Rattus norvegicus: one gene and its partner. The protein of the gene in region 1 binds, or shares a complex with, the protein of each later gene. Links are inferred from orthologs where the notes say so. Each region holds a gene or a part of one and is shown on either strand. Other genes may lie near its edges.

The links.
Region 2: Qrsl1 (region 1) and Gatc share a complex: the UniProt entries of both Homo sapiens proteins name them as parts of the heterotrimeric GatCAB amidotransferase (AdT) complex. The link is inferred for Rattus norvegicus from reciprocal best matches to the Homo sapiens genes QRSL1 and GATC.

Annotation. Positions count from the first base shown.
Region 1 is NC_086038.1:48,961,879-48,966,211, forward strand, and holds the start of Qrsl1 (glutamyl-tRNA(Gln) amidotransferase subunit A, mitochondrial), read right to left. Parts: upstream 2,935-4,333; 5' UTR 2,837-2,934; coding exon 2,813-2,836; intron 1-2,812. Other genes in the region: Rtn4ip1 (reticulon-4-interacting protein 1, mitochondrial), read left to right, coding at 3,453-3,726. UniProt on the Homo sapiens protein: Allows the formation of correctly charged Gln-tRNA(Gln) through the transamidation of misacylated Glu-tRNA(Gln) in the mitochondria. The reaction takes place in the presence of glutamine and ATP through an activated gamma-phospho-Glu-tRNA(Gln).
Region 2 is NC_086030.1:46,929,393-46,933,904, forward strand, and holds the start of Gatc (glutamyl-tRNA(Gln) amidotransferase subunit C, mitochondrial), read left to right. Parts: upstream 1-1,427; 5' UTR 1,428-1,436; coding exon 1,437-1,744; intron 1,745-4,512. Other genes in the region: Triap1 (TP53-regulated inhibitor of apoptosis 1), read right to left, coding at 1,194-1,340. UniProt on the Homo sapiens protein: Allows the formation of correctly charged Gln-tRNA(Gln) through the transamidation of misacylated Glu-tRNA(Gln) in the mitochondria. The reaction takes place in the presence of glutamine and ATP through an activated gamma-phospho-Glu-tRNA(Gln).

The DNA of each region.
Region 1 (4,333 bases):
CTCATGCCTGCAATCCTAGCACTGGGAGGGAAAGCAAGAGTACTTGGAATTTAAGGACAATTTCAACTAAAGAGTAAGTACGGGACCAGCCTGGGCAATAGGAGACCCTGTCTTAAAACAAAGCAAATAAAATTACCACCTCCCCCCCCCCCCCAAATCCTGTAGAATGCTAGCTGGCCTCTCCATTCCCTGACCTTACTTCACACGAATGGTTCCCATGTTACTCCAGTTACCACTTACTTGGTTGTAGCCATTCTCCATGATCTAAAATCTCCTAGATCTCAGTTCTAGCCATCCCACATCTGTTCCCCTTTTACCTCATTTACTGTGCACACAGCCAGCAATGCAGTAAAGGACACCAGCCTCATAACCGTGAGGAAGTGGATTCCCCATTCCTTTTAGAGAACAAATTTAGCAAGGATAGCCTGGGCTACATAACAAGATTCTGCCTCAAAAAAAACAAACAAAACCGAAACAAAAAAAAAACCGATAAATTTGTTTTTTCACTAACAGTATGATTTGTGTAAAGGCTATTCCCAGTTGTCAGCTTGACTGTATCCGATATGCCACATGCATTGTAGGATTTTACATATAGCTCACATACAATGTATGGTAATTTTATATATAAATTAACATTTATACATATTAAATTAACATATATGTCACCTTTCTTACTTATATATCATTATATATCACAAAAATATTAGCACATGTGCATATATACACACATATGCATACACACGTTAATTTAATATATATGCACACACATGTGTACATATATGTTAAGTTAGTATCGATGTATCACTGAAATGGTGCCAGCTGAGAAAGAAGAGACTTCTCAAATCTCCATTTGGAAGGGAAAGGGAGAAGGTAGGCAGGACACTCAATACTAAGTTACCAGGGTCTACCCAGAGACCACATTAAGCCATATACTCTGAGCTTTAATCACACAGATCTCTCTAATTGAGTCCAGAGGGGGAACCAGCTCAAGTTTTAACTAAGACCCCGGGTTATTCTGAGTGGGCAAGCAAGACTGTTGTGAAGCTTGAGAGAGTTTGGCCTCAAACAAAAGCAGGTGTGCTATGTTAAAGCAAGACTGTGAATTAAGGCAGGGACAGGAAGTCGACAGAACAGACTATAGGGCTTCGTGAGTCGATGGACACAGAGACTGAAGAGCAGTGTACAGACCCGCTGGTAACAAGCGTGCTTCTGGGTTTGTTCTGGGCTCGGTGCAATGGCGCCTTTGTTTGGTTTAGCGTGTTCTGGGCGATTGGAAGAGCCCTCCAGAAGGCTCTCACAGATAAGAACCTCGGCAGGGCTTCCTAAGCTTTTCCCACTCACAATCCTTTTCTGCCAGACAAGCTTGGCAAAGCACAGGTACACTGAGAAACAAAGTCGGCATGCAAGACATTTATTGCTAAATCATAAAGAATTTGATTTTAGAACAATTCTCCAGAGGCTAAACGCTGGCTGCTCTTCTGGAGGCCCTGAGTTCAATTTCCAGCACCCATAAGGCAGCTCTCAACCACCTAGACTATAGTGGCACGGGATCTGATACACTCTTGTGGGTGTGCAGACATACATGCAGTCAAAATACCCATATACAATAAGTAAATAAATAGATATTTAAAAAATTCTTTGGTATACATAATTTTGCTCTTAAAGATGATAGTAAATCTGCATACCAATGGATGCATAGACTCATAGACTTACTTATTTTAAAATAAGGAATTAAATCCTGGCTGCAGGTTGCTTCAATGTTGTTCCCTTTTTCAGTTTACCAATATTTTGATTTGCTATATCAGTGCCGAGAACACCACTTTGCATAAGTATGTTGTATGAAATGGTAGGAGCATGTATAGAGCCATACTGGGAAAAGCTGAATAACCTCACATCGAACTTATTTAATAACTTTTGAATGAAACTCAAGTCGATAACTCAAGCAGCCATTTTCAGTATCAAGCACCTTAATGCAATAGAACCCAGAGAAACACAAATTTCACACTTAGGGTACGGACGCGCTGAGGAATGATTTAGGAAAATATTAAAAGGTTTTGTTCTCTGCAATTAAACAATTATGTTTCCACAAGTGTAGAAAGGTTGCACATATGTTAAATCCTAACACAGAACACCCTCGATTCTGAGTTGAGATGTTTCAGGCATTTGCTGGGTAGTGCACACATACTGCTCTGAACCTCGCGCAGAGAAGTCGTGAGGGAGCAACATTGGGTGCTGTCAGAAACATCTTGAATTCACAACGCGTTTGCCCACTGTCTCTAAGAAACATCCCCTTTCCCCTTTTAAACTGCTGTCAAATTTTCTCCTACATTTGTGGTTGCGACCTATTGCTTAAATAGGGGTTAAAACATGATGTGTAGAAACCCTAGTTGTTCGGCCGTGTTTTTCCTTTGTTTTTTTTTTTTAAGCCATAATTTATTTATTTATTTATTTTTTGGCCATCATTTTTTTGGTTTGTTTGAAATTTGCATGCTATAAAATCGCCCGGTCCCTAAGCGAGCACAGCAGCGACAGGCTTGAAATGGCTTGTCTGAGAAACCGTTCCCAAATCGCGCGGGAGGGATGCAATTCCACTCCACGGCTCGGGGGGTTCAACAATTTCTCTTGACGTGGCTGACTCCTGGGAATTGATAGAGGGTGTACGTAAGAGCCTAGGTTCGAATCCCACTTCCCACTCAGGAATGTAGGCGGCCAGGCGGAGCGAGCAGTGCGGGGTGACCCGGGGCGACCTTGAACTTCCAAGTCCTCCAGTGTCTCCGCCCTCCCTGATCCACTCCTGGCCACGTCCACTCACTTCTCGGAGAGTCCGGCCCAGCATAGTCCTCTGAGTCAGCCCAGTACCACAGGATCCCAGAGCAGAGGAAGAAGTCAACGTCGGTCACCGGCGTTACATGGGCGCAGACATCTTGGATCCTCACGCCCCCTCCTCAACAACGAGCGCCTCGATTGGTCGATTTCCAGGATGCGGAAATGATCCCTGCACACGATTGGCTCGCGAGCCGGCGGCAGGAGGCTGCGCGCGGACAAGCAAGGAGACCGCGGCCGGGGTCGCCTCGGGATTGCAAGCCCTGTTTGCTCGTCCTGCTGAGGACTCCCTGCTTGTTTGCTTTTTTCCTTAATGGGAAGGAGAGCGTAAGGAAGGAATGGCCAGAGTACTGGCTGGACGCCATTTCTGAGTGGGGAGCACAGTAGCAATTCTATTTTCTTCTGTTGCTACTTTAGGTTGAGCTTGTTTCTGAAAGCTCCTCCTCCCTTAATTGACCAGTGGGTTTGGCAGAATTTGGCTGAATTGAAGCTTGTTCGTTTGACCCGCCCCAGGTCCTCTCTCCGCCTCCCCACCCACGTTCCTCCTTTCTTTCGCTTCTTTTCCCTTCCTTCCTTCCTTTTTTTAATTTTTTTTTTTTTTGAGGACACGTTCTCCATCCCTGCGCAGGATGGAAGTTTTGAAGACTTGTGTACTTAGAAGAAATGCTTGTGCCGCCGTGTGCTTCTGGAGAAGGAAAGTTATCACGAGGCCACCATATAGAGGCATTAGTACTACGTCTGCGAGGAGCACTGTCATGCCCGCTTGGGTGATAGATAAATATGGAAAGAATGAAGTCCTTCGATTCACCCAGAACATGATGTTACCTATCATACACTATCCAAACGAAGTCATTATCAAAGTCCATGCTGCCAGTGTAAATCCTATAGATGTTAACATGAGAAGTAAGTTGCCCAGGTTTTTTTGTTTTTGTTTTTTTGTTTTTTTAAATCAAATTCACTGGGTACACGGGTGTTTTGTTGGTTTTGTTTTGAAACAAGGGATCGTTGTCTAGCCTAGGCTGGCCTCCAACTCATTGTATACACCTGAGTAGTCTCCACTCTGCAGCCCTCCTGTTCTGCCTCTCCAGTCCTGGGATACAGCAGGTGTAGACCTCCACACCTAGTTAATGGACTACGTTTTGGTTGGCTTGAAGGAATCATTTAGGTTTCTTATTACGTGTGTTTATTTTGTGGTTGGGTGTGTGGAACAGGGCCCAAGTGGAGGTCACAGGACATCCTTTGGGGTGAGTTTTTTTCCTTCTACCATGTAGGCTCAGGGGATTAAACTGACCATGAGTCTTGGTGGCAGGCACCACTGTAGGCAGAATGATCCAAAATTGTGTAGGTTTCTGATAAGATCCCTGCAAATATTTCCGAAGTTTCGACATCACGACTGCCAAGGTATACTTTAATCTTTTATTGAATGTGTTTGCTTCCTTTCACACTCAAATTGGGGCTGAGAACTGATTTGCTACTGTTGATTTGCTCTGTGGTAATTTTAGGGTCCAGC
Region 2 (4,512 bases), on another chromosome or scaffold:
GTGAGTACCTCTAGCACTGGTTTACCAAGCAGCACCGACGTGCAGACTGTCATGTAAGTCCTGTGTGGTATGCACGCCTGCTCTTGGGAAGGTCAGTTCAGGTACCTATCTCTATCTTAGTGACAGTGTTTAATATGAATCTCAGTTTAAGCGGCTATGTGACCTTGAGTCACCTTCACTGTCTGAGAACTGGCTAAAGGTAGCTTCTGGAATCCAGGGGATGGTTTTAGGTTAGAAGTGCTGATTTGAGGGCTGGAGGGATGGCTCAGTGGTTAAGAGCACTGACTGCTCTTCCAGAGGTCCTGAGTTCAATTCCCAGCAACCACATGGTGGCTCACAACCATCTCTAATAGGATCCGATGTCCTCTTCTGGTGTGTCTGAAAACAGCTTCAATGTACTCATATAAATAAAAATAAATAAATCTTTAAAAAAAAAAAGTGCTGGCCTGAAATCAAACCTTATTGGTACAACAGGTGGAGGAAAAACAGAGCAACGAAGAGATCGTAACAAAACGGGACCTCTGCAATTCCTTAGCAGTCTAAAACATACGGTAAACACATCCACTCTTAACAGTGAAATGACACCACCAAAATAATCGAGGTCACCAGACTCCAGTGCCTTTGAACAATCACTTCCTATTTCTGAGTACGAGTTTTTCCATGTGTAAAGTATAGATAACAGAACGTCTTGTCACCAAGCCTGGTGTCCTGAACTTTATCCCCAGAACCCACATAAATGTGAAAGGAGAAAACTGACTCCGTTAGTTGTCTCCGACATTATCCCGGACGGGAACACATATCCCGGACGGGAACACATACATTTTTTTCCGCCCAGAGACGGAGTTTTTCCGTGTAGTCCTGGCTGTCGTGGAACTCAACTCTGTAAACCAGGGTGGCCTCTTACTCAAGAGACCCGCCTGCCTCTGCCTCCTGTGTGCTAGGATATTAAAGGTGTGCGCGATCACCGCCCCGGCCACGGCAATTTTTAAAGATACGAATAATTATGACTACTTGCAAGGTTGGAATAAGTACCAAACAAATGAGCAACAACAACAAAATACTAATGTACTATGTAAAAAGCAAAGCACCGCGAAAACATCCCAGTGTATCAAGCGGCGACACCCAAGCAATTTCGGTGGGATGGCGGAGAAGAGGGCTGCTGCAGCCCTGCGGCTGGTCCGGGCGAAGCTCACCTGGACACACTGTTGGTAGCGTTTGAAGAGGTCGGTGCACGGGTCCCCCGAGCCGTCTCCTTTGAGAAACTTCTCAGCAAACCAGCGGTTAAAGCATTGGTCGTACTCGCGCTTCATGTCAGTGCAAGCCTCCCCGACGCTGTTCATGGCGACCGCAGCTGCAGTGACGGCGACGCACTCTAATGTCGTCACGCGCGCGCACGTCGCCCCACCGTTTGTCGCTACGGAGGCCGAGAAGCAAAGATGTGGGCACAGGCGGCGAGGGTGCAATTTCGGGCTCCTCTGGACCGGGGCCGAAGTTTTGCTTCCAAAGTGGGTCCACGCGGAAAGGTCCAGGCGGCGGACCCGAAGACCCAGGCTCCACGCCTAGTCCCGGAGGGCACCGATCGCGTGTCCGCCGCGGTAGTCGAGCATCTGGAGCGGCTGGCACTGGTGAACTTCAGCAGCCGCGAGGCGGTGGACCGGCTAGAGAAAGCCGTGGCCTTTGCCGACCAGCTGCACGCCGTGGACACCGACGGGGTGGAGCCCCTGGAGTCGGTTCTGGAGGACAGGTAAGCTCCCGGCTGCGGCCTCGGCGTCTTGACTCGGGCACCTTGGAGGCTGTTTCAGATTCTTTGCATAATTGGAAATTTGTCAGGTCACCGCGAGGATGGCTTCACTCTTCCCCTAGTTCATTATAGATCCTGTCACTCCCGTTTAGAATCCTCTAGTCTTCCCAGTCTCGATGTAAATAGGAACAAAGTCCGAAAATCCCCTACTTCATAGAGCCCCTACCACCCTCTCGGGTGTACTGTTCCTTCAGGACCCGCCTCCAGCCTGTACCGGCTTACTAACCACGTTCATTCCCTCTAAGGTGTTTTCACTTGCCTACCTGAGCATCAGATTAAATAGCTGAAGAAATATATATATATATTTACACATATATACATATATATATTTATATATATATACATACATACATACATATACATATATGTATGTACGTATGTATCTTCAAATCAGTTTTATGCTAATATGGGACATCCAAATAACAAGTTATGCTTCACCTGTTTTTGGAGATAGAATCTGGCTGTTTCATCAGTGCTAATTATAAGCCTGTATTACCCACGTAGCATCAGTTTCAGGAAATCGGTGAAATGCTTTGCGAAGTTTAAATCGTGTTAGTCACCTGTTCTTCTCACCTTCCAGTCTGATTCCTTCCGGTCTTTGATCTGATGCTCAGATGCAGAGAAGTTATCACTATTTGCCTAACATTACCCCGCACCTCATTACCCAGTACTTCGCAGCGGTTGACCTGATGTCATTTCCCCATCCAAGATCTTCAGAAGATGTGGCACTGCTCCTGAAGCCAAAAAAAGTTTGCTTGAGGCCTGCAGGCTCTTGGTTGTCAGTCTCTGCCCATCTCTCCAAGCCAGCACTGTCATGCTTTCAGCTTCCAGAGTTCTCCCTCCGTTACTTTTTTCCCCACAATTTTCAGTCCTTGCTTTTACCAGCTCCTTATCCCACCTACTTTTCTCCTACTAATTCTCCTTTCTTTTTTTTTTTTTTGGTTCTTTTTTTCGGAGCTGGGGACCTAACCCAGGGCCTTGCGCTTCCTAGGTAAGCGCTCTACCACTGAGCTAAATCCCCAGCCCCGGATTTTTTTTTTAATGTCTAGCACTGCATAAATACTTGATAAATGCTCAAATAAACATTTCATTAATTTATTTGGGGAGAAAATAGAATCAGACAGGAGTCGGCAGTGGTGGTGATGGTGTGGTGGGTTCAGCGGGTGAGGGCAATTGCTACCAATCATGATGATCTTAGTTTGATCCTTAAGACCCACATGGTGGAAGAGAACTGACTTGAACAAGTTGCCTTCTGACTTCCACATACACCATAGTACACATCTCTGCGGCATACAAAATTTTAGAATTGTAATTTTCAAGAGTCAGGATTTCTTGTCTTCTAGGAGAAACTAAAGAAATGCAGTTGCGGGCTGGAGAGATGGCTCAGTGGTTAAGAGCACTGACTGTTCTTCCAGAGGTCCTGAGTTCAATTCCCAGCAACCGCATGGTGACTCAAAACCATCTGCCACAGGGATCCGATGCCCTCTTCTAGTGTTTCTGAAGACAGCTACAGTGTGCTCATATATAATGAATAAATAAATCTTTTTAAAAAAAAAAAAAAGAAATGCAGTTGCTAAAAAGGGAAAAGTAAAAAAAAAAAAAAAAAGACAAGCAATATTTGTCATGTAGTGGCTGGAATTTGAGCTTGTTGTTTTATTTTATTTTTTTTTTTGTTCTTTTTTTCGGAGCTGGGGACCGAACCCAGGGCCTTGTGCTTCCTAGGCAAGCGCTCTACCACTGAGCTAAATCCCCAACCCCGAATTTGAGCTTGTTATTGTCACTCAGTGGCCTGAATTTCTTACCATAAATTTTGTCGTTTTAGGTTAATGAGTCCCACTGGTCATTTTAATATGACATTTGTAGGACTACAAAAAAAATAGGCCTCATGAGTCCCAGCCTCTCAGGCTATAGACTTCAGTGCGCTTTTAATCTTTAACTGTATGTGCCTGAGAGTCTAGCACATGTGTGCAAGAACCCACAGAGGTCGGAAGAGGGTGCCTGTGCAAGCCCCTGGAGCTGGAGTGTCAACCTCCAGGTTGGTACAGGAACCAAACCCAGGCCCTCTGTAAGAGCTACATGCTCTTACCTCATAAGCTGTCTCTTGAGCCCCTGACTTGTTTTAAATGCTTGTCTGAACTGGACACATCCTAGTAACGATAGGAGATCAGCAGTTTTAGCACCAGCCATAATTGCAGTAAAAGCCCCAACTGGCTAGTAGACGTCTACATATTAATAATGTATTATTTGAGTTGATCTAAAAGGCCTTAATGTACCTGTGTTATAGGCTAGGAGTTTGTATGCAATATCTCAGTTATCATATATGACTTAGATGATTTGGGAAAGCAAAGAGTGCCAATTCCATACAAGAAACAGGCTCAGAATTTCACTGGAAAAGCCAGGACTTGGGACTTAGAAGCCTTAACTCTCAAATGCAGGGACCAGCTTTACTGACATCTCACTGCAGTCAACTACTTCAATACTTTATTCAAACACACACTAGGCGGCTCTGTGGATGAAAGCACCTGGGACCCGAGTTCAAACCCTGGAAACCACAGCACATAGTGGAAGGAGAAAACCAACTCCTCCAAGTTGTCCTGATCTCCATATAGGTACTGCAGCACGTAAACACACACAGAACTTTTAAAACAAGCTTTTTTTAAAAAAAAAGATTTATTTATTTTATATATGTGAATACACTGTCATTGATTTCA